Arabidopsis thaliana: one gene and its partners. The protein of the gene in region 4 interacts with the protein of the main gene of each other region in a pairwise test. Each region holds a gene or a part of one and is shown on either strand. Other genes may lie near its edges. The genes, in order: PHL1, SELT, AT5G47530 and RGS1.

Region 1 (8,158 bases), on a different chromosome or scaffold from region 4:
TAATTTTTAAAATTTAAGAATTATTTTTTATATATAAAAGTTTTGTAAATTGTATCATTCTCTAATAAATTTATATTTTATAGTTTAATTTTATATATAGTAACATTATACATACCACATAACATTTTTGGTTTTATATAATCTTTTCTAAATTAGGATGATTTTATATGCTTAATATTAGTGGTCTTAAAAAATAATAAATTAAAGTTTTAACCCGTATTGAAACGGTGGATTAATTATATTTTACTTTTTTATTAATGTTGATTCAATAACCCGTCCCTCCAAATCCGTCTTGCAAAAAAGCCATTTATTTTATTAATATTAAGTTTATTAATGATATGACTCTGAGTTATAATCTAAACATTTTAGCTAATAACATAAGAGTGCACCATATTTATTTAATAGGGGAATGTACCATATGACCCGAATGCACTTTTACCCAAATCCACCAAAAAAGTCTTGCAAAAATACTATACTGATAAGAAACGATAGTCTGTTTTGATAGGTATAAGATTAGCAAATATATTAGTTAGCTTAAATTAGTTAAAGAATACAAATTGAAAAGGTATATTATACTTTATTCGAATATAGTATCAAAACTTATATAACATAGTGTTGTTGTTTATAGTTCTGATTCAATTTCATTGGTTTGATTGGTTTAATCAGACTAAGGACATTGGACCAGGCGGTTATCTCCGGTTTTGGGATGGCTGAGTAAACCGAAAGATGATGAAGTAAAGAGGAGTCTCTAACTGCAGTGGAGGGTCTTCGGTTCTCACGGGATAAGGTTTTAACCAACCCGAGTTTGTTATAAAGTCATCATCACTTTCTTCTTCCTTTGTAATTCTTGTTCTTAGAGAGAGAGAGTAACAGAGAGAGAATCCGCCATTGTTGTAAGCTCAAGTTTGAGCATAACTCTTCCTTTGATCTAGTGAATTTGCCGGATTGATTCGGCTCCGGACGTAGGTTAGATCACACCAATCTAGCTGAACCGGGTTAACAAATTGAGTCTTGTGTTCTTCTTTACTTGTTCGTTCGTGTTCTTGAGCTGAGTTCATTGTGAGAATCGGAGATTGAATCTATAACACATAGAGATTTGATAAATTTTTAATTGTTGAATTCTTTTTTTTGTGCTAATTTTTATGTGATTAAGATTTATTTGATTTCATATATAAAATACTAAATTGTTTTACGAACTTATTTGTTTATAATTTGGTAACAGATAGATATTCGAATATTCAATATATTTTGCTTCAGTTTAGAAAATCTTTGATGATCCGTCTTTAGATCCAATAAGCCCTATAATCTAGATATTAACCTGCAGTATACCGCAGATAGGTTTATATTTTAGTTAAACTAAAATTTTTTATTGTAAAGATGATTTAAAAATATATAATATTATTTTATTTTATTTTAAATGTATAGTAAACTGTGAGTTGTATATGTTTTGTTGATATTATCTATATTGTTTAATGTTTAAGATTATACACTTGTAGTTTGATTGTTAATTTAAGAGTTCCAACTGTAGTATACCATCTTGTATTAATATTGATCTAAACCGTCAATTCTAGGATTTTCCAGCTTGTATTAAAAATTGAATCACATCATACACATAAAAAAATCTAATATATTATTAATTATTGTAGTATATAAGATTATAAATTTTCAATATAATATGTATGAAATTGAATATAAATATCTCAAATTATGACCCGTTACTCAGTAGAAAGTTTTCTTAAATCTATTTTTCATCCGTTATAATATTTATTCATGTATTGAACAGTTTATATTCGTTTTTAAAAATTCAAATTATGCATATGCAAAAAAACTCTAATTCTTTTTTTTTTATAATGATGATATTATTTTTTCGCAAAAATAGAATCATATAAAGATGAGAAGTGAACTATAATAATTAATAAAAAATTAATATGATAATTTAGATATCAAATCTAATTTGTTGATTTTAATTGGTTATTTTTTTAAAAATTAATAATGTATTTCGTTTTTCTAATTAAATTAAATTAATTAAAATTTATATATCAAATCTTATATGTTGATTTTGATTGGTTATTATTTTTGGAAATTAATAATGTATTTCGTTCTTTAATTAAATTAGTATTTGACTTTCTAATCTTTAAAGAGATAAATTAATTTATTCTTTAAATTTTTATTTCTAATAGCATACCTATGTAATTACTTACAAAAATTAAGGTTACATTTAAAATGTACTTCCCAAATAATATAGTAGGATATGACATTATTATAAATTGTATTCTATTGTAATGATATGGTTAGAATAACTAGTTACTTAATTAAAGTTTTTTTTTGGTTATACACTCAAATTTCCGTATCTAATATGCCTAAATCCGAAGATCTTTACCAATTTGTGCCTATTTTAATAAGATACTCTTCAAACAAAACAACAATAAAAATGTAGGTCCCTTAATTCCTTAATTTTGCACTTTGCACAGCCACCAGTGAGGCAGAGATCTTCTACGACAGAGATAATACAACTTTCGTACTCAACAAAAATCTCAGTCGTTGATAAAATACACGTGTTAAAATCTAACGGTCTTGATAAATTAAAGGAAAAAACAAAAGCTGGAAACAACAGAGACGTAAAAACGATAGTTTAGGAAAACAAAACAAAAAAGTGTTCTTTGATCAATCAATAATCATTCATCAGGGCCCTGTGTTCTCTGAGTCAAGTAAGATTCTTTTCGACGATTCCATTTACTCTTTGATTAGGGTTTTATCATTCTCAATCAGGGTTTTAGTTTAAACATCGAATTAAGCACTGGATTAGCTGATTTTGTGTGATTTGATTTCAAAGTTCACAGCTTTTAGTTTCTCTGATCCTAATTTATGATTTGAAGTTTCTATCAAAAGGTTTGATTTTTATGTTGACTTTGTGATGATGTTAAACCCCATTTAGCTTTGGATCCTAGAATTGTCTTTAGGATTGTAAAGTTTTAGTTTTTATTGAATTTGATTCTGTTCATGGTAGCTTCTTCTTTAACACGTCTCTTTGGTTTCATCAAAAGCCATATTTAACTTTGCCTAAGTGGACATAAATTTCATTCTCTGAGTACTGATTCCATATCCTTTATGTAATGTCCTTTCACTATCCACATGTAGATGCTTCTCCATGTAGAGTTTGTGATCTAGAGCAAAACAAAAACGTTAGAAATATTCTTGAGAGATTGTTTCTTTTGACTAGATAGTAAGGGAATTGATTCAATGGTTCATCTCCTTTGCATAAAGTTATATTCTGTGTATTAGTGTCTCATTTCTCGTTGCCATTCAACACTCTGAATTAGGATACTGTGTGGTGTTTTGCAAAACTGCTCTTGTGCTATGACTCTGGCTAATGATTTCGGATATTCGACCGCTATGTCTTCATCTTATTCAGCTCTTCATACTAGTGTAGAAGACAGATACCACAAGTTGCCTAACTCTTTTTGGGTTTCATCAGGTCAGGAACTGATGAATAACCCTGTACCGTGTCAGTCGGTCTCTGGTGGCAATTCTGGTGGTTATTTGTTTCCTTCTTCCTCTGGATACTGCAATGTTTCAGCTGTCTTGCCTCATGGAAGGAATTTGCAAAACCAGCCACCTGTTTCCACCGTGCCTAGAGACAGATTGGCTATGCAGGATTGTCCTTTGATAGCTCAATCCTCGTTGATTAATCATCACCCTCAAGAGTTCATAGATCCACTTCATGAGTTCTTTGATTTCTCTGATCATGTTCCTGTTCAGAATCTACAAGCAGAGAGTAGTGGAGTAAGGGTGGACTCATCCGTGGAACTTCATAAGAAAAGTGAATGGCAAGATTGGGCAGATCAGCTGATTTCTGTTGACGATGGTTCTGAGCCAAATTGGTCTGAACTTCTTGGAGATTCAAGTTCCCACAATCCAAATTCAGAGGTTCAGTTTCTCTAGCCATATATGGTCTCTATGTTTGTTGGTTGTCCTTATGTTATTTAATCAGTGTTTTGCATAATTGGTATCAGATACCTACACCATTTTTGGATGTACCAAGGCTAGATATAACAGCTAACCAGCAGCAACAGATGGTTTCATCAGAGGACCAGCTCAGCGGCAGAAACTCATCATCTAGTGTAGCAACATCTAAACAACGTATGCGTTGGACACCAGAACTTCACGAGGCATTCGTTGAAGCTGTTAATCAGCTTGGTGGTAGTGAACGTGCGTAAGCTTTCTCCTTCTATTGTTCCTGAAAATAATTGCTCAAGGATGTTAACCGTACACTGATTCTTCTATAATTTCCATCATAGGAGCCACCCCTAAGGCTGTTTTGAAGCTCTTGAATAACCCTGGCTTGACCATTTATCATGTAAAAAGCCATTTGCAGGTTTGTTCTTATCCATATACTATTTTGTTATTGTATCTCATACTGCTTCTCTGCTAAGCTAATTTCTCATTTCTCACCGTCTTTCTGTTGAACTTCTTTTCTACAGAAATATAGAACGGCAAGGTATAAACCGGAGACTTCGGAAGTTACAGGTAAGGAGTTAAAATACTTTAACATAATACTACTGCACTTTTTCTAAGCTTTAAAGTATTGGTCACTCTCTAGAAGAACCTAAACTCTCGACAAACAGCTTACGAATGTATGAACTTTATTTATTTCTTGCACAGGAGAACCTCAAGAGAAGAAGATGACATCTATTGAAGATATCAAATCTCTTGACATGAAAACGTAAGAATCTTCAGTCTTCTGACTGCATAACAAACCAGTAATCTTTCTTCGTATTCTTCAGATATTCTTGTATGTATATTTTGCTAGATGATTATGTTACTATTTCTTTTCCAGGAGCGTTGAGATCACACAAGCTCTACGGTTACAAATGGAAGTGCAGAAACGTCTCCACGAGCAGCTCGAGGTAATGATTTTACATGCCTAACTGCTAAAAAACTATCCTTCTTTACCTGATTTCGAACTTAGATAGAGTAGTAGTTGTGAATATCATGAGTATTATCTGATTTTGTCTAAACCATATGCCAGATCCAACGGTCACTGCAGTTACAGATTGAAAAACAGGGCCGGTACCTACAGATGATGTTCGAGAAACAACAAAAGATACAAGACAACAAGAGCTCTTCTTCAGAAGCATCACCAAAGCAATGCAATGGTTCATTTGCAGAAGTTGAAGTTGGTCTTGAGACACTAACAGGGGACCAAAATGAATCTGCTTCAGCATCAAGGAAACGTGTCAGAGAAGATTAAAGCATGTTTAATTTGATCTCGTTTGACGAAACATGTTTATTGGGAATTAATTGTGGAAACCAACTCCAGTTTTGTTAAAAGAATCTGTTTCTTTCTTAGCTCTGTATTGTTCTAGTTTAGAAGCAGTTGATTTGGCCTTGCATGGCTGCAACACTAACTAAAGAGTAAAGACTAATTGTGTATATCTACATATACATTTTTGGGGACGATTTGTGTCGAAAAATCCTTTTTCAATTTTTGATATTGTATGTTTAGTCCCTACAAAATCAATCAGACAAGATATTTTCTTTAGGACAATGACCAAATTTTTGATTAACAATTAAGATATTGCACTAACTACTTACCTAAACATAGATATTGTTAATTACTACCCTAATAAATTGCACAAATCAATCCCTAAAACTATACCGAATTCATTAATGCTAAAATCCTAATTAACAAAATCCGGAAATCAATCATAACTAACCATATTTACAATTACTTGATTCGAAAATAATTTTAGTTTTAAATGCTAATGATATCTTACCAAAATTTATTCTTCTTTTATCAATTGCAACACAAAATCCGGTAAGTAACTATGCATTAATTTTTGTTACCTCAAATAAACATACAATATACTAGAGAAATCTGTATTTTTGTTCTTAATTGGCTTTATTCCTAAAAATATTTATACAAAATTTTGTTTTTGATTTGAAAATATATAAATCGTATATGTAGTTATAACAAAAAACTATTTTCAAATCAAATAGAATTCTAGAATAAACCGTAATAATATTTTAATGCCATATCTAAAAAACTCTATAAATTGATATATTGTTCTAACAAATCAATATTTAATAAGAATAAATTAATTTTATTCACGTTTTAATTTAATGCTAATAAAAAATAATTTATTCTAATGGTTTTTAGTTATGACATTAAAGATTTATTGCCAAAAATGAAATAATTCGAATGCTAACAATAAACATAAATGTGATCGAGTTCTTTCCTACAAAAATGGTAATCTTTAACATCTTCCATAGCTAATTTATATTTTTTCAAATTTTGAGTTCAAATTTTCCTTAATTTTCATCAATCGTTGTTAATATATTTTTTGACAAGATTTCTCTACAAAAAAGGAAACCACATTAACACTTGCGTATTGTTTTTGTTTAGATTTGTAATCTAACAACAAGCATATATTCTCAAGATATTCGAATATCAGAATATTACCTAAACTAAAATATCTAGAACATTCTAACGTAAATGTGTTAACAAAAATATTTTTATTGTTATATAATGATTCGCAATCTTCCCTTAAACATGTGAGTATCATTCTAATTTTTGATTTGTATCTATGATTTTTCTACTTGCTCTCCAAAATATTCTCAAACCGTCAAACAGATGCAACCAAAACCTTAAGATTATCGTCTATAAATAACCATCTCATATCAAACAATTACCACAACCAATTTGCCTCAGTCTAAATTATCCCTCATAATTCTCATATAGCAAGGTATTTCTTATTCATAGCTCTAGATATGTTTTGCTATACAGAATATTTATCAATGCTTGTGAGACAAATTTAATAGATTGAGTTTGTGATTTTGTTGTTTGTTAAGCTTTATGAGCAAGCTATTAAGTATGAGAAAGGTTCGTTTATCATTTCTAATGGAGCTTTGGCGACGCTTTCTGGTGCTAAGACTGATCGAGAGATAAGCGTATTATTAAAGATGCAACTACTGAGGATGAGCTTTGGTGGGGAAAGTGAGTATTCTTAATCCTTAAAAACTAAAGTTTGTAATTTCATTTTATTTTAGTTTATGATTAAGGGAAATTGAAAAACAAAAGTCCTCTATATCCAAATTTCCCAAATAACTTTCTTCTTTCTAGATTCTCCCAAATAACTTTGGTAAAAAAAATTATTTTATCATTTCATTTAGTTTTCAAATTTTATTTTATTTTACACCACGGGTTAAATCCTATACCACATTTTTTGTTTGCATGCACTTTAAGTTATTTTACAATTTAGTTAAACTTACTTAATTTTGAACTTTATGATGGTAACTTAATAACATTAATCTTATTCATATAAATATTTAGCTATATAGTAAATGCCGAATAATACTATAATATAACTATAAGAGCTACATCTTATTAAATATCATATATTTTATAGTTTACAAAATCAAAAATTTATAAATTATAAAATAAAAGGAAAAGAATCAACCCGCAGAGTACCACTTAATATGTTGATATCCATAATATTTAGATTCTATAAAAAGTTTGTAATATTAATAATATTTGAACTCTAGAAAAAATAAATTTTTATACGATAAAAACCATTTGAAAGCAAAATTTTATATTGACTCAAATTACATGTAAAATAAAAGTACTACTAAAAATAAAAATAACAAAATTATGTTAAATTTCAAGGGACGAGGTTATATGGTGGGATGGGTTTGAGTTAGCCTAAATATGAGGCGGCATACCACATATAAAGTCCTAAAATATACAATCAAAATCCGATTATACAATTTTAAACACTAAAAAAAAATAGTAACAAAAAATACAACTTAAAATTTTAAAAATTATAGTTACAAAAAAGTAACCCGCAGTACACAATGGATCATAGCCATATGTTATTAATATTTTAAAAACACGTAATAACACACCATAAAAATAAACACTTATATATTAGTTAAGAAAACTATTTTAAGCGAAATACTTTTATTTTTAACAAAAAAAAATACTATATAACAAACACGTAATAACACACCAAAAAAATACACACCCTATATAATGATGCGTATAATAAACAGATTTCCTTAATTAAACAAAATCAAACCAAAGAAATACAAATATAATATCAAAAATAAATAGATATAAAAAGTAAGATGAGAAATTCAAAATATAACTTGATTATTT
Region 2 (6,109 bases), 7.9 Mb from region 4:
ATATTGAGAATTATTTTATCATTTTGTTAATCCTAAAATACAGATACATATATCAGTTGTCTCAGTTGAACTTAAAAAAATACATTAAACTTGCAAATAATTCAATAAACTTGCAAAGAATTCAATACAAATACGAAAACATAAAACATAGTACATCACACTTACAAATAATATAATACAAATACAAATGAACTTAGTTGTATTGGTTGAACCCTTTCTGCAGTTGGCCAGGTTGTTCCGGTTTAACCTTTTCTGCATTAGACTTAATCTTCCTCAGGCTGCAGCCAAGCCTCCAAATTTATTCTCCTCTTTCGCGCTTCACCAACTGATGGAAACCGCTTCTCTTGATTTCGTCCTGGTCCTTTTGGTGTGTATTCCGGCGGAAAGGCAACTAACTCTTTAATATGGGCAGGAAGAACCCAAACCGACTCATGTGGGACTACATACAACGTCCGGTAATAGGCCAATGCCCAACTCTCTATCAAGTAATACACAGAGCAGAGTCCGTAGATGGTTGTATTCGCATTTCTCCCTTCCTTGCGGGCGAGGTGCCTGGCTGCGGCCATAGCATGGACACACGGGATCTTGTCTATATCAAAACATTTGCATGAACAACTTTTCATTTTCAAATCCACCAGAAAACTTACCGAGTTGAGATCAATCACGTTGTATTCTTGGTTGTAACTGTTAAGCTCAAACACAGTTAATTTGGCTGCAATTGGACATCTAATGTGCAATATGTTCTCGACAGTAGGCACAACTTGTGCTGTGATTGGACAAGAACTTGAATCTTGCCTATGCTCGTTGAACCATTCAGAAAACTTAGAAATCATCACATCAATCATTGGTAACAAGTGATATTTTCTCGCTTTTTTAAACACACCATTAATGGACTCCGCAGAATTACTAGTGTCAATGTTATACTTGTCTCCTTTAAAATGGCACCTCGACCATTTCTCAAACCCTACTTTCACAAGAAAGTCAGCAGCTTTAGGCCATAAACTTGTAAAATGACCAAACTCTTTCTCGAACTCACTCTCAGTATATGCATGAGCACAATCCCTGAACTTGACAGCAGCTCCATCCTTGTCAATTTTCACACGATCTCTCATGTTTTGACACAAATGCCATATACAAGCTGCATGAAGCGCATTCGGGTACACCGTCTTGACAACCTTCTTTATGCTTTGATGCCTATCACTAATAAAGACCAATCCGGGAACATCCGAATATACAGTTTTCAGCTTTTCTAAGAACCAAATCCAACTTACATCATTCTCGCTATCAATGATTCCAAACGCAAGTGGATAATGATGATGATTAGGATCTTGTGCTGTTGCAATAACCAACATCCCACCATACACAGTTTTAAGATGAGTTGCATCCACAACTATCACTTTCCGCATTGTCCTAAAACCTTCAATGCAAGCGCCTAATGCAATGAAGAGGTACTTGAACTTTTTCTCTCCTTCCAACTCCACATAAGTTACTGTCCCTGGATTTACCTTCTCTAACATGTAAAGATAAGAAAATAACATCGTGTAGCTTCTTTCCGGAGTCCCTCGCACATCACTAACATGTAGCATTTTGCCTCTTAAGGCAGTGGAGTATGAACAATGCACCCCAAGTCTTCCTCTTACAATCGACATAATGTTGTTTGGAGTTGGGGTCTCTAAATTTCCGGGATAGTCACAATGCAAAACCGATGCTATCAATCTTGGTGTGCCTCGCTGTATACTGTTGCTTGTAGTCTCAACACTCCGAGAGCATGTATGCATCTTTCTATGCACTCTAACACTCCAAAAATGAGATTTCTTAGTTCTCGCAACTCTTAGATACCAAGTACACCCTTTAGAAGCTTGGCGGCATCGTAGCATAAGTCTCAACGGGTCTGACTTAATAGTATAGACTCCAAAAACTTCTTGCTTTGCAGCTCTGTTAACCAATTCCCACACAGCCTCCCTTGAACAAAATTCTTGACCAATTTCAATACCCGTACCATCATCCCATTCTATAACCTGCGGAGTAACTTCTACACTTCGTGGAATATTGTGAATATCATCATAATCAATCCTATCATCCTCATCTTCTTCCTCAACAGAATTCACCGGCCTTTCCATCGGCCTTTCGACAGCCACGATCTCCGTACCTACTACATTCTCACAATCATTCACATCATTATCATATCCATCATGCACCATCTCACATACTTCATTTAAAACATCATCTTTTCTTACATTTACACCAACTGAACTTCGACGCTCCGGTACAGAAATTTCCTCTCTCCTCTCAACTCCTATACCATTTAATTTCTCCACATGCAAAACAGGAATCCGACTCTCTTCATCAGATTCTGTTAAAAATATAAAGACATCCTCATCATCTACAATATATGTCTCTCTCCTAACTTTAGACAGATTGTAACTCAGTTTCAACTTCACAGAAGCTTCATCAATCGCAACCTTCTTCATGATCTTGTCAACTAACATGAAACCCCCCAAATCTTTAATATGAAATCTCGGAATTCAAATTCAACTCACATTCAACCTACATTCCTTTGCTCATCACCTCAAATAACGTTTCGGCAACCTCTAATCGATTACTCTTTACTTTGCAAACCAATCATCAAACTATCAAATTGAATCTGGGAATTATATATAATTCAAAATCCTAATCTAAAATCACAATGCACCAATGTCAAAGGAAATATGAGAAGAAACTGACCTAATTCGTTGCCTTTTACGACGGATTTCAAGTCGGCGGCGGCCGGAATCGATGGTGGCCGACGAAGAAGATGAACGTCGACGCAAGAAGAAGAACACGACGACGAAGAAGAGAGAACGGAGAATCTCGATTTTCTTTATTTAGCTTTTGAATTTCTTTTTTATTTTTTTAATCAACTCATTAAGGGTACAACTGGTATATCACATTTTCGGTGACATTCACTGATGGCAGTCCAGATCAGTTTTTTAAAAAAAGTGGCATAAGTGATAAAAGTTCTCTTCTCCGATCGATCTCCTTCAAAATTTCAACTTCAAATTCCCTCTCTGAGATTTCAAAATCCGCCATGGACAAAACACAATTGATCTTGTTAGGACTACCGATTTTCCTGCTTTGTTCCGATCTCTTCAATCTCTTCACGCCTCCACCGCCGAAATCTCAGCACCAATCACCACCGTCTATCTCAGAAACCCTAGATTTCCCCGCACAGGTGAAGTCGAATTCATTCCTACATAACATCTCGCACACCACTTGTGTTCTAATCGTTTGTCTTTTTAGCAGAAGTCAACTGGTGTTGGATATGGAAACACCGTAGAGATCAACTTCTGCATCTCCTGCTCGTACAAGTACTTTTCCGATTTCTTTCTAAGTCAATGGCTTTAAGCTTTATCATCATTTAGATTTGATTCATTAGTCTTTGTATTGTAGGGGAACTGCTGTATCAATGAAGAAGATGTTAGAGAGTGTTTTTCCTGGATTAGATGTAGTTCTTGCTAATTACCCTGCACCAGCACCAAAACGTATTCTTGCTAAGGTTGTGCCAGTTGCTCAGGTGGGTGTTATTGGTCTCATTATGGGAGGTGAACAGATATTTCCCATGATTGGAATTGCGCAGCCTCCTGCTTGGTATCACTCTTTGAGAGCGAATAGATTCGGGTCCATGGCTTCCACTTGGCTTCTTGGTAACTTCTTGCAGTCTTTTTTGCAAAGTTCTGGTGCTTTTGAAGTTAGCTGCAATGGAGAATTGGTCAGTTCTTTTTTCTCTTATGCATGGTTGCAGTATCATATCACACTCTCGGCTTTGGCTAATCAAATCCAATGTTTTGTGTTGCCAGGTGTTTTCTAAATTGAAAGAAGGGAGATTTCCGGGGGAGATTGAGTTGAGAGATCTCATCAGTGGAACTATGACGAAACCATTCGTCACAGGCAGCTATTGATGTAGACTCTAGTCTAGAAGGTTCTGAAATCCTTACTGGCTTACGATCATAGACAACAATATAGTGTTTATGTTAAAAGCTAATGTGCCAGAACGTTCATGTTTTGTCTTTAACACCAACATCATGTGTTAATATACTCAAGTTGTGTGGTTGATACATAGCTCACATTGTTTCTTAAGGTTTTGCTTTGATACTCAGATGAATAATATACAGAGTATAGGAAATGGAGAATTCAGCTCAGTCAAAAGAGAGAGATTATTATATATATATTTATTTATTCAACATAGACTAAACAAGTAAACTCAGAAGAGTTTTAAGGTGTTGTGTCAGCCTTTGCATTGGTCGGAACGCTGGGATCGTGTCTGGTGTTTGCAGATGGATCGTCATAATCCTCGATGGTCATCATCAAGAATCTACTTGTAGTCCCTGTCTTCACAATTCCTAACAAGTAAAACCAATTCAAACCCGAAAACAGAGTCAGAACATCATAGTTCAATGAATCAAAGCATAAATGAAAGAAGCATCGATTATAAGAGATGAAACCTGAAACATGAAGAGTGTTTGGGGATGAAGATGTTACAAGTGGAAGTGTTAGTATGAGAAACAAAAGAAGACGAGTTCCAAAACTCATCTCAGTTTTGTTTAAGAGGTATGTATATGTATGTATGAGTCGTATATATTTATAGAAATGATGATTCAAAATCGATTCTGGTTGTGGTTATCCAATTGCAGTTTGTTTTTTCACGTGAACAAGAGACTAAAACATTAAAGCCTCTTTGTTGTTGTTGTTGTTGTTGTTGTGTGTGTGTGTGTGTGTGTGTTAAAGAAGAGTGTTAGTTTGGGAGATGGGGTATTAATGGTCGGAAGACAACCAAGGAAATAGTGACATGTGGCTTAGAATTGTCCCCACATTTGTTCACATCAAGGGGTGCACAATGTCTGAAATTCTACCCTCAATCCCAGATCTATACGATATGCTATGAAAAATACGATACCTGAAGTTCATGGGATTATCAGATTATTGTTCCGGATTTCGATATGGATCCACATTTGTCTATTACCCTCTCCGTGTTTTTTTTTTTGTTGATGTTGGAGGTTTTTGCACATCAATTAAAAAATTTATTTAACTTTTGTTTAGTTCTAAACGAAAATAATATTTATTGTCTATCTAAACATGATTTAACAAATGATAAAACAATATGCAAAATATAAATAGCCAAAATCAATATGAAATCTAATTAATTTTGCATTGAAATTTGAAATATCATCTAAATTAAAAAAACAATTTATTCTAAAACATCAACTAAAATAAATATCGAGTACATAGAAAAGTATGGTATATTTTTGAATATGTCTTTCATAAATCTTTTATTTCTATTTTATTAAAAATTAAAAAACAAAAAATACACAAATGTTAAAAACAAAACAAAACATATTGGAACCAAAAAGCTAAAAGCCAGGAACATAGCTACAAGCCTACAATTACACATTGGTAATGTTTGAGAATAAACCTGAAAGTTTTGTTATAGCCATCAATTTTTTATTTTATATATGTCAATTCAGAAATAAAAATATGTCAATTAAAAAAAAACTTTTATTTTACATATGTTAATTCAAAATAAATAAAAAATAAATAAAAATAAAGAAGGGATAAGTATAACGTATTGGCATTAGAAATTTTTTTGAAAAAATTAAGCTTTTACAATGGTATTTAAATTGATTTTTTTTAACTCATACAACAACAACCACAAAAAATAAAAATAGATTTGAGATATAGTGGAAGAGGATGAGTCAATGAGAGAATGAATATTTGTAGGATGGGAAGTGATAGAGTTACAATTTAAAAATAAATATGAGAGTTGAAAATTCTAATTGATTGTGTGTGAATAAAATTTTGTAGAGAAATATAGTAAATATATAATTTATATGACTTTAGTTTTATATTAAAGTGTGAGTTAAATGTAAGCACCAAAAAATAGTGTGACTTAATTATATATCATTAAATGTGTTTTTTTTTTTTTGAACATCAGCTTTATTAATCAAGAACATGATACTACATAGTCACGATGCAAATGCATCAGAAATATTAAAAGGAACATAGAAATGAAACACAGATGAAACATTTCCTTGTATCGGTTGCTTCGCTAAAGAATCAGCTACCATATTTGACT
Region 3 (7,057 bases), on a different chromosome or scaffold from region 4:
ATCTTTACCACTGGCTTGAAGCCCGTCAACAAAGCTAAGGACAAAACAAAGAGCCAAAGTGAGGAAGAGGGAAGACAAGAATAAGTAGAGTTGGCATAGGAAACTTGAGAAACAGTAAAGATTGAGATCTAAGAGAAACAAGAGAATCTTTAAGATCACCTGTCTACTTGAGGTAGCTTCCTAGAAGGTTCAGTGGAACAAAGTTGACTAAATATCAAAACTTTCAGCTCTCAACCACCCTAAGAAAATCTATCACAAGCAAAGTATTCAGCACATAAACGCATTCTGGATCCAAAGTAAGACAGCAATACAAGTTACCTCTTCTGAAAGCTTGATCTGGCTCTTTAACACCTCCTAGAGAAACTTGTTATACAAGCTCATGAAGCCTATATACAACAAGTAAAGCTAACTTTAGTTATAATCTCACCCTAAGAATCTAAGTTAAAGTCGGTAGATACTGACTATTCACAAATCATGAAAGCCACCAATAGGAAAGCAGAGAAATATTCTCTCTATCATAAGGAGAAACAGAATTGAGACAGAAAAGACAAGCGCGGGCCCAATTCAACCAACAATACTCATTCACTTGATCACACAAAGTGCAATCTTAAACACTGATAGAAAATTCTCAGTCTTGTCCTTAGGGCTCACATTAAAGATGAATCGAGTTAATGATTGCTGCAGGTTTATAATATCTGCCTGAATATGAAAATCTTCATATACGGCATTAGAAAATGAAAGTAGGCCACACATTTCTTTCTGAAAAAGATGATGAGACATCAAAACTTATAAAACACCAATTCAAAAAAATAATCGAAACTTCACCTAAGAAACTAAACCCAAGTAAGAACCCATTTTCGCAAAAGAGAAGGAGGAGATATTGTAAGAACTCTTTAAAGCAAAAACAGAGCATTGTAATAGAAACAATCAAACCAAGTAAAAACAGAATTTTACATGAGAGATCATCACATTACATTCCCGTCAGATGTAAGATCACACACATACATACACACACAAGACAGAGAAAACGTTGATGATCACGAATTATGAAGACCCATTAGACAAAACAGGACAAAAAACTCGCATTTACAGGGATAATCATAAGGGGAAAATTGAGAAAAACCTTCTCTTTATTCTCGGGAAGTGCAGAGGAAAACAAAATTACCTTGTGGAAGCAACACCGATTAAAGAAATTGGGGAACATGGGAATGGAATGGATCCAAAGAGAAGAAAACGAAACAAGAGATCCCAAAAATGGAATCGGAAAACGAAAGGATTCAACGCCTTCTTCTGGGAAATCAAAGACACGCAGTAACTCTGGCAGAGAGAGAGAGAAAGAAAGAGACCGGAGTTTTTCCATTTCGGTTCGGATTGGTAATAATGGGCTCAGCAAAAATAAAACATCTTGGGCCCTTATGGACCCTCTTACCCTATTTTACCATAGGCTCTACTTTTTTTTACCACCTTTGTTTTAGTTTCACTTAAAATTTTAGTTAAGGAAAAAAAAGTTACCGATTATGTACACTCTACTGTTATTTATTAGACACAACAAAACTTTCAAATATGATGGATTTTCCATCCTATTTTATTTATAAAAGAAAATATTTATATTTCTAACATCAACAAACTCTACCCAAATCAGATTATCCTTCTGAAACTATGCAATTTGTATTGTTTTTCAGGAAACTAGTGATTTTTTGAATAATTGTAATACTTTTCATTCATCAAAAAAACATATTATATCTTTCCTTTTTTTCCATCAAAAACATATTATATCTAAATATCTCATTTTGGGTTGTTTTTTGATAATTAACACTTAAGCCCATATAAAAGAGTCTAGTTCAAACTGAGCCCAGCTACACCAAAGAATCTAGTGGGGGACATGTGGCAGGTAGTAATTTGAGCGTTGACCAAGAAAGGACATTATTATACATCCACCTGGTTAGAGCATGCTTATAGGTGATATTCTCAAAGTATCATTAAAAAAATTTTAGTATTATTTATAATGTTTGTTTAATAGATAAATATTTTTTTTCTTACTTTTAATAAATGCTACCAATCAGGAGATGTCACGTAGATGATACTGATATCAAGAAAATCACTGGAATGATACTAATCAAACTCATTCTAATTGTTTGGTTAATAAAAAAATAATTTTTACACTGATGATATTCTAAAAATATCACTCATGTACATGGTCTTAACCGTTGAAATGTTGGTCGCGGCCTATATATAGAAGAACATAACTCTAAAAATAGCTAAACCCAACCACTTCCCTTGGATTGGAATCTCTCATAAACAGTTTGTTGGTCTGGTCCGCTCCAGTCCATACTCATAAGGTGGTAGATGTTTACTTAGGGTACATCATACATGCACAACGTTAGTAGTTGCAGGCATAGACGTGTTTGCCCTTTATTACGCGAAAACCACTACTCCCTTCGCTAGTCTACTTTCGTCAATTGAACCACTAAACCCAATGAAACCTAATATTTTAGTGTGCTCAATAATTTATCATCATCCCAATTCCCAAGCGTACCAAGATTATAATCTAACTTAACGCGCAATGTCATGACAAAACCTATATACAATGAAAAAGATTTTTCATGACAAACAAAGAAAAAATAAACACGAGAAATGAGTTCTCGTAATAAAGTTGGTGTGAACTGGTTTTTGAACGTGAAGATGACCCCTTCATATTTTTATTTCTTGGTTTTTGCTTGAGAGGGTTAAAGACTCTTAAGGAAGAAATACATTACACGTCAAACCTTTTTGGGAAAACAATGAACGCTTCATTTATAATGTTTCTATTTTTTACTCTTAGGTAAAACATTGCAATTGATAGATGAACAAGAACAAAAGCAGAGGATTAAAAGAAAGATTAAACTATGAAAAAAGGACACGTGTGAAGAGAATTAGAGATTCTGTATTAAGACAGATTAACTAACAAACCAAACCCTACTTGTTCCACTTTCTATTCATACTTAATCTCATTCTCCTCTCTTCCCCTTCATACTTAAATCTTATCATTCATCCATCTTTTAATCATTACTCGAGATTCTGTTTCCATGGCCATATCCTCAAATCTTCTCCTTTGTCTCTCTCTTTTCATTTTCATCATCACCAAATCCGCCTTGGCTCAGAAATGTTCCAACTACAAATTCTCCACCAACCGTCTCTTTGAGTCTTGCAACGACCTACCTGTTCTTGATTCCTTCCTCCACTACACTTACGATTCTTCTTCAGGCAATCTCCAAATCGCGTATCGCCACACAAAGCTCACCCCCGGGAAATGGGTGGCATGGGCCGTGAATCCCACATCTACTGGCATGGTCGGAGCTCAAGCCATTGTGGCTTATCCACAATCAGACGGCACCGTTAGGGCTTATACGTCACCCATCAGTAGCTACCAAACGAGTCTCCTAGAAGCTGAGCTGAGTTTCAACGTCTCTCAGTTGTCTGCCACTTACCAAAACAACGAGATGGTCATCTACGCAATTCTGAATCTTCCACTTGCGAATGGTGGAATCATTAACACTGTGTGGCAAGATGGGTCACTGTCAGGGAACAATCCTCTGCCTCATCCAACTTCTGGCAACAATGTTCGTTCTGTTTCTACTCTTAACCTTGTCTCTGGTGCATCTGGATCCACCTCTACCGGAGCAGGAGGAGCTTCCAAGCTACGCAAACGCAACGTGAGTCCATGGTTTTATCAATTTCTTCATTTCATGTTTTTTAGGAATCTCACATATGAAATGAGATTTATCAATCCCATCATTGTTAGTTGGTTTTATGAAACTTATCACTCCTAATCATTATTGCAGATACATGGAATATTGAACGGTGTGAGCTGGGGTATAATGATGCCAATAGGAGCAATCATTGCTCGCTACTTGAAAGTCTCAAAATCAGCAGATCCTGCTTGGTTCTACCTTCATGTTTTCTGCCAGTCTTCTGCTTACATCATTGGTGTTGCCGGTTGGGCGACCGGTCTCAAACTGGGCAACGAATCAGCCGGGATTCAGTTTACCTTTCACCGTGCTGTTGGGATCGCTCTCTTCTGCCTCGCAACAATTCAGGTAGGTTTTAGTTAACAGTACAGAGAGTATTACACTTGTCATGAATATGTTGCAATTACTAAGTTGCTTGTTTCACACGTTAGGTGTTTGCAATGTTTTTGAGACCCAAACCAGAGCACAAGTACAGAGTCTACTGGAACATTTATCACCACACTGTAGGCTATTCAGTGATCATTCTTGCGGTGGTAAACGTTTTTAAAGGACTAGACATCCTGAGCCCTGAGAAGCAGTGGAGAAACGCTTACACCGCCATAATCGTAGTACTAGGTATAGTCGCGGTTGTGCTCGAAGGGTTTACTTGGTATGTAGTCATAAAGAGAGGGAAAGCAGAGGCATCTGCGAAAACAAGTCAACGAGTAGGCAACGATGGTCGGTCTCTATACGTGTAGACTCTGTAAAGATTAGAGTAAAATGTTCTGGTTTATTTGGTCATTATGGGCTTGTGGTTGTTAATTTTTGTTTGTTTTCGAGATTAAGTTAATACATTTGATGTTTAATAGTTGTTGAAGTTGAAAGACTCTTGTGCTCTTTTACAACATTCATGATGTGAGCTTTTGACAAACCATTTTATTTCATCGACAGTGAAGTAGTGTACATATGAATACATATATCGAATAGATATCTCGTATGTGTATGTGTGTGTGTGTGTGTGTGTGTGTGTGTGTGTGTGGTGAGAAAGTGAGAGGAAGATTGGTTACCTAATGTAAAAAAACAACAAGATGCTTCAAAAATGTCTTTTCGAGTGTTTTAAAAGGGAAGGAAGGATGAATTGCATTAGTTGGTTCAAGCAAGATCTCGAGGTTCAAGGGCTGCGATTTCTCTCAAAACCTGACTTTTGTCTGCTTCAAACCTCTCATCCTCTGTCAACCAAATGAACCAAACAATGCTTTAATAAGGTTAAGGAGCAGAAGGATCGGATACAAGCGTTTCACTTAACAAGATTAGTTTCATACCTTTGTCTGGTTTCAAATCAGCCAACAATCTCAGAAGCTTGCTTCTGTTGGCCACCAGAATGTTGACTATATCCGCAGGCTTGTTTTGGTTCGCTGCAAACAGCTGCACAACAGTGACGATAATCTCAGTACAATCACGTTGGACTGACAAGTGACAATCATCATTATGTTACATCTCGTTAATGTAGGTACCTTAAAGACATGGAATGCTTCTATTTGGATACTCTTGCTTGACTCCTGTAATTCAAGCGATTGAGTTTATTTCCCAAACTATTATAATCAAGAACAAAAAAACGGAGAGTAAAGCATCGTACTCTTAGAAGATTCATGAGAATCCTCAAGTTATCCCTCGAGCTCACATATTTCGTCATCACAGCTGAATTTGATCGATCCAATAATATATCACCCAACAACTGTTTAACATTTACACCATACAGTACATAAGATTGATCAGCCAGTACCATCATTTCAATGTTTTAGATTCTTGTATAAGTTAGCCTACCTTAATAGCTTGCCGTCTGGTTATATAATTACTTGATTCAAGAAGCTTTGAGTTGTAGTCTGCGAAAAACTGCAAACCAAAAAGTTTGAGATTATTATACGACTTGAACGCAGGACCTGCAGAGGATAAATTACAATGTTCTGTCTTCAAGCATATATCATAGTGCATTGTTGCTACATAACTTACCCAGTCTTCATTCTTGGTGAGAAACTCGGCAACAGTAGACTTATGCCTTGTCAGCAGTTCCTGTGAAAATAAATGACAGGTTTGGAGTTATGATTGCATGTTTACTAGTCCCAGACAGGGAAAGATCCAAGCTAAAAATGCGAGTTTTGTTTTGGAACCTTAAAAGTAGCAGCAGCATCGGCAGCAATGTCGAAATTTGGAAGCTGTATGTAATCAAAGAATTTCTTCACATGGTCAGACTCCAAAACATATCTGAATCCAAAGAAATTAAGTTAGTAAACACATTTTCCGTTATTCTCTGAATCCATAATTACTCCATAGGTCGTAAAATGAAGAAAATGAAACGATTGGCTCACTTAGCCACAATCTGATGACGGATACACTCCCTAAACATAGCACCATAGTGTAAAGCCATGTCTGTGTTCTCGAAGCTGACACAAAACATGGAAAGCTATAAAAATGATAAAATGTGGTATCTCTTAATTTGGAAAAACTACCAACTAATAACTTCAATGATAGTAACACACAAGACTCACCCTTCAATCAAAACATCCATGAGATCAATGTTGGCTTCTAAATAATCAGAAGCAATCAACCGTGAATTAACCTGTTGCCTCTGTAGATTTGCAACAACTTGTGTAGCATCTTTCCTCGTCTAATTAAAAAAAAAGGACAGATTTTTCGCAATTCAATCATCCAATGTATCTCAAAAATGATGTCTTTCCTATACGGAGAAATGTTACCTCCAAGTTAAGTTTAGGGAGACAAGTAATCAAGAGACGTAGAGTATCCTCTTTAAAGAATTCTTGAGTCAACTGTGCACAAGCTTCTGCCACAGGCTCTGCTTCGCTGTTCCCGTAGAGAATCGACTTCATGTCACGGATATTCCGGCTTAATTCCGCCATCTGCAACCACATACCATTAATTCAATTGGAGCACAAATGGCATAGAGAGAAATGACATTATTGCAATGAAGATACCAAAACCAAACACCAAGAAGAATTCAACAATTCATGGAAGAATTTGCACACATTGAAAGAATCATCTTTTATTGGAGAATATAAATAAAAATGGAACCTTTTCGTCGCGTTTGGAATCTCGGAGGTCAGGCAAAGAGGTAGATCGATCGGAGAAGAGAAGGAGATCGCGGGTTTGTCGAACAAGGTCAGCAGGAGTGCGTGGCTTAGACTTGAAAAGCCCTTTCATCTTCGCACCGCCGATATCAGATTGATCCGACGGTTCTCCGCCGTAGCCAGAAGAGCTAAGGCTACCGCTGAGGTGGTGCTGCGACGGAAGCCTCCTCGCCGATGCGGAGGAGGAGGCTTCACGTCCAGCAGCAC
Region 4 (8,397 bases):
CAGGTTCTTGATTTCTCTTCATGTGGGAACCATTGAGAATAGTTTTGGTACACTAGGGTATAGAGAATGTGATTGAGAGACTAATCTGAGTGGTGTTTGTTTTGAATCATGATAGTTAGCACGTAAGGTGGAAGCAGTAAACCCAACCAAGGAGCCTCTGAAGTCTGATTTGATCAATGGGAAATGGGAGCTCATTTACACAACATCTGCTGCGATTTTGCAAGCAAAGGTTAGAACTTGTAATCTTTGAAACTTGTGTTGTTGTTTGTTTTTGGCTTGTTGTGTAATTTTCTCTGTCTCCTTGAGAATGTAACAGAAACCAAGGTTCTTAAGATCGTTAACTAACTACCAATGTATCAATATGGATACACTAAAGGTGCAAAGAATGGAGACTTGGCCTTTCTATAACTCGGTAATATTTCAAACCGCGACTGAATTCTCTTTTTGTACCATTTTCACAAGTAGGTTTTGCGATTTTGCGTTGTGTTAGACCATATACAAAGCTCTTTTCTCTGTGATGTTGAAACCTATTGATGTGATCCATTGCTATATAATATTCAAAATGTACGAAAGTTTGAGACTTTGTCACATATATGTATGATCATGTTCCATTGTGACTCACTAGGCAAGAACAAAGGAGGACTAATACCAAAGTTTTTATCATCAATATTCTTTCAGCAGAGTTTGTAAAATGAGACTTAGCAAACTACAATGTTTTCATAGGTAACTGGAGACTTGACACCCCTCAACTCGAAGACGGTTGCTGTGAAACTTCAAGTGTTTAAAATTCTCGGCTTTGTAAGTATTACCAAAACTCTTGCTGTTATAAGGGAAACTGGTAGTACTGACTCATACATACACCATATGCTTCTTTTACTGATCATTAGTGTTTGCTGTGTGCAGATTCCGGTAAAAGCACCTGATGGTACTGCACGCGGTGAACTAGAGATTACCTATGTGGACGAGGAACTACGGTCAGTAGTGAATGATAGTTTTTCATTTCTCTATGGAACTGACAACCAAAAACATTTGAATCTTGAAACAATGTTCATTTTTTACAGGATATCAAGGGGCAAAGGCAACTTGTTGTTTATATTGAAGATGTTTGATCCCACTTATCGAATCCCTCTCTGATCTATCGAAAAAAATAGTTTCGAGCTATCATACATACTTAAAATCGCTTGTTCTGTCTCTCTATTCATCATGTATGTAAAAATCTAATAAGAGAGAATAAAAAGAGACTAGCTTTTGTCAATGATTCAACTTGTTTTGATCGACATTGCACCACATTAGATTAAAAAAGCTCTAAACTTTGAATTCGGTACAGAAAATCAGAAAAGGACTCATGTCCTCTTCTTTTGAAATATGTTACAATAAAAATTTGGTTTCATTTCTTCTTCTTTCTTGGTGCGTTTTCTCTGATAAACGACGCCGTATGAAGCTGGCGAGACACAGACCTCTCATTTCGACGCTTTCTTCTTCGTGAAACTCTTCATTTGTTTTATATTGGAAACAGAGTCTCTCTTATGAATCAAAGCGACAAACTTTGAGAAGGCAGGCGAAAATCTCGGATGGGTTCCATCGCTCTGCAATCTTGGAGCAGAGGAGCTTCAACTTCTCTTCATCTCCTTTTTCGTCCAGGTAGGTAAGTGCGATTCCTAACTTGATATGATCATATATATGAGAATTCGACAAAGATTTTTGGTTGAAATTTGCTTACTTGATGATCAGTTGGCTCGAACCCTAAGCTATATGATGCTCGAAGAGTACAAGTAAGATTCTTTAATGTTGCCGCTTCTTGGTCCGAACAGATGATCTCTTATACTATAGTCTGTTTATTTTGTCTTTTGGGTTTTAAGTTTGATGTAAGAGCCTCTTCAAGTCGTAAATCACTTAAGAAACTCAAAAGAGAGTCACAACAAGGTAAAGACATAGGCTTAAGAAATGTTACAGATGAAGAAGTTTCTTCTCCAAGATTTGAGGAAGCTCAAGTTGATTCTTCAACTTCAAAGGACTCCATTGATGTTTTTGTTGCTGCTCCTCGAGACAAAGTGCTTCAGGCTTGCACTGTAACTTCCGGTTTGATGGCTGCACTAGGTCTGATCATCAGAAAGGTGAATCCCAAATCTGAAAGTTTATGATTTTGTGATTCTAGCATTTGTATCTTGCTGATTTGGTTACCGCTTGCAGGCGTCTCATGTTGCTTCGACTGAAGGATTACTGGTTCCAGACTGCTCTATAGATGTACCATGTAACATCTCGGAAAACGATTATGTTGTGTACTAAGAATCCTTTGAGAGATTCAGTAACCAAAACATGTTTTGTATTGCATGATCTTTCTTGCAGTTGGGTTTGAAACTTGGCATCTCGGTTTAATTGCTGGAATCGTTGTGTTTATATCGTCAAGTAGGTTCTTGCTACTTAAATCTTGGCCAGATTTTGCTGATTCTAGTGAAGCAGCAAACCGACAGGTCAAAACATTACACATTATATACATTTATACGATTCTTTAAACTCCGCTTATTGTCTCCTTTGGTATTCACTACTTGCAGATTCTCACTTCCCTCGAACCTCTAGATTACCTTGTTGTTGCAATGTTACCGGGAATAAGTGAGGTAACAATAAACAATCACAATAAAACACAGAAAGGCTCTCCTTTAGAAAATGTCGTTCATTGGTTTGATTTGGTGTATTCACAGGAGCTGCTGTTTAGAGGTGCATTAATGCCTTTGTTCGGAACTAATTGGAATGGTATTGTAGCGGTTGGCCTCATTTTCGGTTTACTTCATCTCGGGAGCGGAAGAAAGTATTCTTTTGCAGTTTGGTAAGCCGTTTTTACTGAACATTTTGGTACCTCAATGCTGATGAGAATTGCGTAGACCGAATCTTGATATTAGATGATTGCCTTTAACATGTTCTTGCATCTCTCTATCACATTTCCGAGGTTTTCCTATTGAATTCTTTGCGGTTTCTTGAAATTTTCAGGGCTTCGATTGTCGGTATAGTCTACGGTTATGCAGCTGTTTTGTCGTCGAGTCTTATCGTTCCAATGGCCTCGCACGCACTCAACAATTTGGTGGGAGGTCTGTTGTGGCGATATAGTTCCAAGATCAAGTCATTGGAGTGAAATAAACAAAATTTACAACAGGGTTGAATTAAAAAAGTATACAATTTTAATGGGTGGGTTTGTGAAATCTCTCAATAGTATAGGGTGGTTATGTCAAAAATCTATAATAGAGGGTGGTTATTGTAATTTTAATGTACCAACTTGTCACAAAGGACAAGTATGAAAAATCTATAATTATAGAAGTGAAAAGTGAAAAACCAATCAGAATTGTTACCGGAAAAAGGAAGTGTCTTCTGGTCAAAAAAGTCAGAGAAGAAGAGAGAAACGTGAACAATGAAGAGACAGAGACGTCTCTTCTCTTATGCGAAAGTGTGAATCTTTTAAAGCTTTTTGTTTCAACATCGATAAATGAAGTTTCTTTTATTGAATTTATAGAAATTTGCACACTTTACCTTGACATTAAAGCAACAAGCTTTGAAACCAAATAAAATCTCAAAAACCCAGAAAGCGAGTGGAGAAGAGAGAGCTGATATGCTACAATAGAAATGGCGAGTGGATGTGCTCTACATGGTGGTTGTCCCAGCGATTACGTCGCCGTCGCAATTTCAGTCATCTGCTTCTTCGTGTATGTGTTCGAGCTTAAAAATCCCATTTTTGGGTTTTAGTTTTGAAGATCTAGATTTTTCATTTACTGGGTTTGCTTGTTGACTCTTGACTTGAGTCAAAATCTCGAATTTTGTGTCTTTAATCGTTTAAAATTTTCATACGATGTCTCTCTTTGCTATTTTAACTCTTTGTATTGTAAGTGTTTGATGTTATGTATCAAAAGATCTGTCTTTTGTTTCGTTTCAGTTTCTTTTAGCTGGGAATTAGATGGTTTCAGTATCTTGATAGCAAGATTCATATATTATGTCGGAATCGATTATTGAACTTAGATTTGAAGTTCAAAAGCTTGATTTAATGGACTAATTGAGTGGATTTGTATCATGAGTTAACTTCCAAGTAGTTCAATTTCTCTATTAAGTTGATTCTATCTGATGGATTTCACTTTGTTTATTTAGGCTGTTATCGCGCTCAGTGTTACCGTGTTTGATTCATAAGGCTCCTCGTACTAACAGTAGCAGTTTCTGGATCCCTGTTATTCAAGTTATCTCCAGCTTCAACCTTCTCTTCTCAATTATGGTTAGACTACTTGACTTGATGATTCCGTTGCTCTTAAGAATCACTTCATTTGTTGAGTTTCTACACTAATAGACTGTTTTATATTTAATTTTCAGATGTCAGTTAATTTGCTTCGATTCAGGACGAAACATTGGTGGCGATATTGCTATCTTTGGGCAGGTTTGTTTGGAAACCATGATTCCTCATCTTCGTAAACAAATTGACAGTTATATCAATAAGTCTTGTATAATTTGGTTTCAGTGTGGATTGAAGGACCACTTGGGTTTGGTTTGTTGATGAGCTGCCGTATAACTCAGGCATTTCAACTATACTTCATATTTGTCAAGTGAGGTTCAATGTTGATCAAAATGTTTTTGGATTCCAATTCTATCTCTATTGGTGTAATTGAGTTTAATGCTGTTTGGTTGTTACATATTCTTTGCAATGTAGGAAACGTCTACCTCCGGTAAAATCATACATTTTCCTCCCCCTTGTTTTGTTGCCATGGATCTTCGGAGCTGCAAGTAAGAATTGTTCTGAACGTTATATGTACTGAGCAGTTCTTGGTTTCTCTTGTTTTGGATAATAATAACTCAAAGCTTTTGATTTTGCATTTAGTTATCCACGCAACAAAGCCTCTCAACGATAAATGCCACATGGGTCTTCAATGGACTTTCCCAGTTGCAGGCCTTCATGCTCTCTATGTCCTTGCTTTAATTGCATTCACAAGAGCAGTTCGACATGTAGAGTTTCGTTTTGACGAGCTTAGAGATCTCTGGAAAGGAATTCTCGTCTCAGCCACTTCAATCGTTATATGGGTAACAGCGTTTGTGTTGAATGAGATTCATGAAGAAATCTCTTGGCTTCAGGTTGCTTCAAGATTTGTGCTTTTAGTCACGGTATGAAAGCTAATACCAGGACTGTTCTTTATATTTGCAGTTGGAATACCTTTTTAACAGACTTCTGAGTTGATTCTTCTTTCAGGGTGGGATTCTCGTCGTTGTCTTCTTTTCCATCTCGAGTAACCAACCTCTTCTTTCACAAATCAGCTTGAAGAAAAGACAAAACTTTGAGTTTCAAAGAATGGGTCAAGCTCTAGGCATTCCCGATAGCGGATTATTATTTCGGAAGGAGGAGTTTCGACCTGTTGACCCAAACGAGCCACTCGATAAGCTTCTTCTCAATAAAAGATTTCGCCATTCGTTTATGGAATTTGCTGATAGGTACTCCATTCAATACCTGACCTCATATATATCCCGGTTTCACCATTTATTTAAACTAATTCGTTATATGCTGGTAGCTGCTACGCTGGAGAAACATTGCATTTTTTTGAAGAGGTGTATGAACATGGTAAAATCCCGGAAGATGATTCGATAAGAAGAATCTACATGGCTCGACATATCATGGAGAAGTTCATCGTCGCAGGTTAATTACATATCCATCTTCCCTCTTCTTTATAGACCTGTCTCGTGTGTTCTCTCTATAAATCTAACTAGTAATTCCTTAAAACACAGGAGCGGAAATGGAATTGAACTTATCTCATAAAACCCGACAAGAGATCTTAACCACTCAAGATCTAACTCACACTGATCTCTTCAAGAACGCATTAAACGAAGTCATGCAATTGATCAAGATGGTAAAATAACATCTCTCTTTCACTCTCTTACGCACGCCTTCAAGCTATTCTCTTGATTCTCATTTTTTTGTGCTCATGAATTTGAAGAACTTGGTAAGAGATTACTGGTCATCCATCTACTTCATCAAGTTCAAAGAAGAAGAAAGCTGCCACGAGGCAATGCATAAGGAAGGATACAGTTTTTCATCTCCAAGACTGAGTTCAGTTCAAGGCTCTGATGATCCTTTCTATCAAGAACATATGTCAAAGAGTTCCAGATGCAGTAGTCCCGGTTAAGGAGTCTAAAACTGGTACTAGACCAGAACCCAAACCAATGTTCATAGCAATCCAATCCATGTAATCTTCCTTCACATTTCTTGTACATGTCATTTTCTCTCTTGTTATACCTAACTGTAAGAGAAAATGTCCGGTTCGGATTTTGGTTTAGTTTTAAATGTGTATACCGGACAAAAACTATGGAACCATACTAATTAATATCTCGAAGAATTTATACGTATATGCCATCTGTTTCACCAAGAATAAAAAAGCACCTGCAGATTGATCTTCATGTCCTTGCAGAGTGATGATGTTGCATCACATGTTTCATGATGTGATGACATATCCATTGGCCTCGCTAAGGCTTTTCATCAACATTTTGACATAATGTTTTTTTCCACCACTATATTTTGACGTGTACAACATCTATAACGAGAAGGTGGGATGGTCATCAAATATTTCAATTTTAGAATATAATTTGTTACTGAAAAGAGAAAGTTGAAGAATTTTTTAGGTTTATCATATGATTAAATGATATTAAAAGTTTTAAATATCTATAAAATATAAAATTAAATATTGTTGAGCAGCAATAAAATGTCTTTAGGTAAGTTTTTAAAAAAAAAAATCATCTGTTACCATTTAAGCTCTAAATTATTCAGTAAAATTCTGCAAGAAATGTCAATTAAACCCTAAATTCAGTAACTTAGCCAGATTTATTCTGCTGTTAACATATAAAAATTAAATGTTCAAAAAATAAAACTTATATGTGTAGGTAAGAAGTCTTGTCAGCGAATGAAAAAAAAGTTTAAATTAATGTTTCATTATTATGGTGAATCTTTCCCAAATATTAGTGGTTCTCATCTCACCATAAATAAATATTATTTCCCAAAGAAGTTTTTTTTATTTTATTTTTGGCTGTCTACCATATGGTTTTGGTATATATATGGGTAGCAATTATTGGGTGTTGTCGATGTTCTCTCCAAGATAGTTTATAAAACTAAAAGGAATCTTTATCAGTTTATCTTTCACCAAATTAGTTAATTTCAATATATTTTTTTGGTTAAATTGTTTAGCTTATGGGGAATTCTCTAAATAGTAATTACATCTATTTTCTGTTCCAAGACTATTATGAATAAATTTTCGAAAATGCTACAAATTAGTTGTGATAATGTTATTTCCTTTTCATTCTTATATCTCAATCTTAATATCTTCATTCTATCTTTGTTTAAAACTCAAACTAAAATGAAAACTCTATAACATCTAGACATGAAAACTCTCACTAAAATGAATTTAACAAAATTTACTTCTATTTTCGGTGAAAATAATACTCCTTATAAACATGAAAAAGAATGAGGATGTCATCATAGTGGATAACTATGTAAGGACTCATGAGTAATATAATCAAATTATTAGCAGATATTAATAAACTACTATAAAGATCCGTTGGATAGATAGATAGATAACTTGTTCTACCACTCAAACCAAGTTTTGGATGCACACGTCTATATACACACATAACACATGCATACATGTATTGATCATCATGATGTTATATTCCATTACAATCAAACATATATGTGACATATAATCACAAATTTTCTTATAATTTGTTATGTTATTTACTGAGAAAGAGATCTGATCGCTTTATAAGTCCGCATAAAGAGACACCACAACTTTCTTTCTTCTTCATTCACTTCTATCAACGCCAAATTTGCAGACTTTCCCAGGACCAAAATTATATTAAAAAAAAGTTCCTTTTTTCTGATCAAATTGTGAAATTCGCTTGCTTGCTTTCTTCACAGTCAATTAATTCTCTAACAAAACATTCTTCGATCGTTCGTTTTCATCTTCTATGCTTCTCTGATCAGACACAAGAACACAACCAAAGAAACTCACTATAGCTTGTCTGTAGATTCTGATGTTCGAATTCTTGTTGTTGATGATGATTGAATTGATGATGATGATGGTTTGATGCAGATGGGTTTTCAAAAATCTCATCTTTTTTCTTAACAAGTAATCATTTTTATCCATCTCAAGTCTCTGTTGAATTTTCTATGATTTTGTCTCTGATTGTGAATCTGGGTAATGATCAAACTGTAGTATTAGTTACTAACATTTCCCCAAATGGATTGATCTCTCTGATGTGTTTGTTTGGTCAATCAAAATTGATTTCTGGGTTTTCTGTTGTGATCATGGTAAGGTCAAAAGTTTTGAGTTTCCGTGTGCAGAGGAGAAGGAGTAGTCCTTTGCGTGTGACAAACTGTTTTCTTATTATCTT

What was found.
Region 1: the proteins of RGS1 (region 4) and PHL1 interact in a two-hybrid assay, tested with the Arabidopsis thaliana proteins (one large-scale study listed by BioGRID).
Region 2: the proteins of RGS1 (region 4) and SELT interact in a two-hybrid assay, tested with the Arabidopsis thaliana proteins (one large-scale study listed by BioGRID).
Region 3: the proteins of RGS1 (region 4) and AT5G47530 interact in a two-hybrid assay, tested with the Arabidopsis thaliana proteins (one large-scale study listed by BioGRID).

Annotation. Positions count from the first base shown.
Region 1 is NC_003076.8:11,019,429-11,027,586, reverse strand, and holds PHL1 (Homeodomain-like superfamily protein), read left to right. Parts: upstream 1-2,721; 5' UTR 2,722-3,357; coding exon 3,358-3,927; intron 3,928-4,013; coding exon 4,014-4,209; intron 4,210-4,298; coding exon 4,299-4,375; intron 4,376-4,481; coding exon 4,482-4,527; coding exon of another isoform or gene 4,528-4,574; exon of another isoform or gene 4,575-4,662; coding exon 4,663-4,723; exon of another isoform or gene 4,724-4,800; intron 4,801-4,837; coding exon 4,838-4,907; intron 4,908-5,029; coding exon 5,030-5,251; 3' UTR 5,252-5,607; downstream 5,608-8,158. UniProt on the Arabidopsis thaliana protein: Transcription factor acting as central integrator of phosphate starvation responses. Regulates FER1 expression upon phosphate starvation, linking iron and phosphate homeostasis.
Region 2 is NC_003074.8:17,426,514-17,432,622, reverse strand, and holds SELT (SELT-like protein precursor), read left to right. Parts: upstream 1-2,999; 5' UTR 3,000-3,067; coding exon 3,068-3,211; intron 3,212-3,282; coding exon 3,283-3,347; intron 3,348-3,429; coding exon 3,430-3,748; intron 3,749-3,836; coding exon 3,837-3,938; 3' UTR 3,939-4,180; downstream 4,181-6,109. Other genes in the region: AT3G47295 (uncharacterized protein), read right to left, coding at 4,252-4,379, 4,482-4,569.
Region 3 is NC_003076.8:19,278,406-19,285,462, forward strand, and holds AT5G47530 (Auxin-responsive family protein), read left to right. Parts: upstream 1-2,968; 5' UTR 2,969-3,065; coding exon 3,066-3,692; intron 3,693-3,821; coding exon 3,822-4,076; intron 4,077-4,159; coding exon 4,160-4,465; 3' UTR 4,466-4,656; downstream 4,657-7,057. Other genes in the region: AT5G47540 (Mo25 family protein), read right to left, coding at 4,860-4,936, 5,030-5,132, 5,222-5,266, 5,344-5,442, 5,532-5,600, 5,718-5,777, 5,876-5,969, 6,074-6,148 and 3 more. UniProt on the Arabidopsis thaliana protein: May act as a catecholamine-responsive trans-membrane electron transporter.
Region 4 is NC_003074.8:9,529,271-9,537,667, forward strand, and holds RGS1 (REGULATOR OF G-PROTEIN SIGNALING 1), read left to right. Parts: upstream 1-3,342; 5' UTR 3,343-3,612; coding exon 3,613-3,692; intron 3,693-4,128; coding exon 4,129-4,249; intron 4,250-4,344; coding exon 4,345-4,408; intron 4,409-4,489; coding exon 4,490-4,574; intron 4,575-4,678; coding exon 4,679-4,752; intron 4,753-4,846; coding exon 4,847-5,127; intron 5,128-5,212; coding exon 5,213-5,451; intron 5,452-5,528; coding exon 5,529-5,653; intron 5,654-5,742; coding exon 5,743-5,864; coding exon of another isoform or gene 5,865-5,873; exon of another isoform or gene 5,874-5,889; intron 5,890-5,951; coding exon 5,952-6,140; 3' UTR 6,141-6,359; downstream 6,360-8,397. Other genes in the region: AT3G26080 (plastid-lipid associated protein PAP / fibrillin family protein), read left to right, coding at 1-3, 116-229, 317-412, 724-798, 904-1,134; AT3G26085 (CAAX amino terminal protease family protein), read left to right, coding at 1,572-1,641, 1,732-2,114, 2,191-2,251, 2,347-2,471, 2,553-2,615, 2,700-2,824, 2,986-3,127.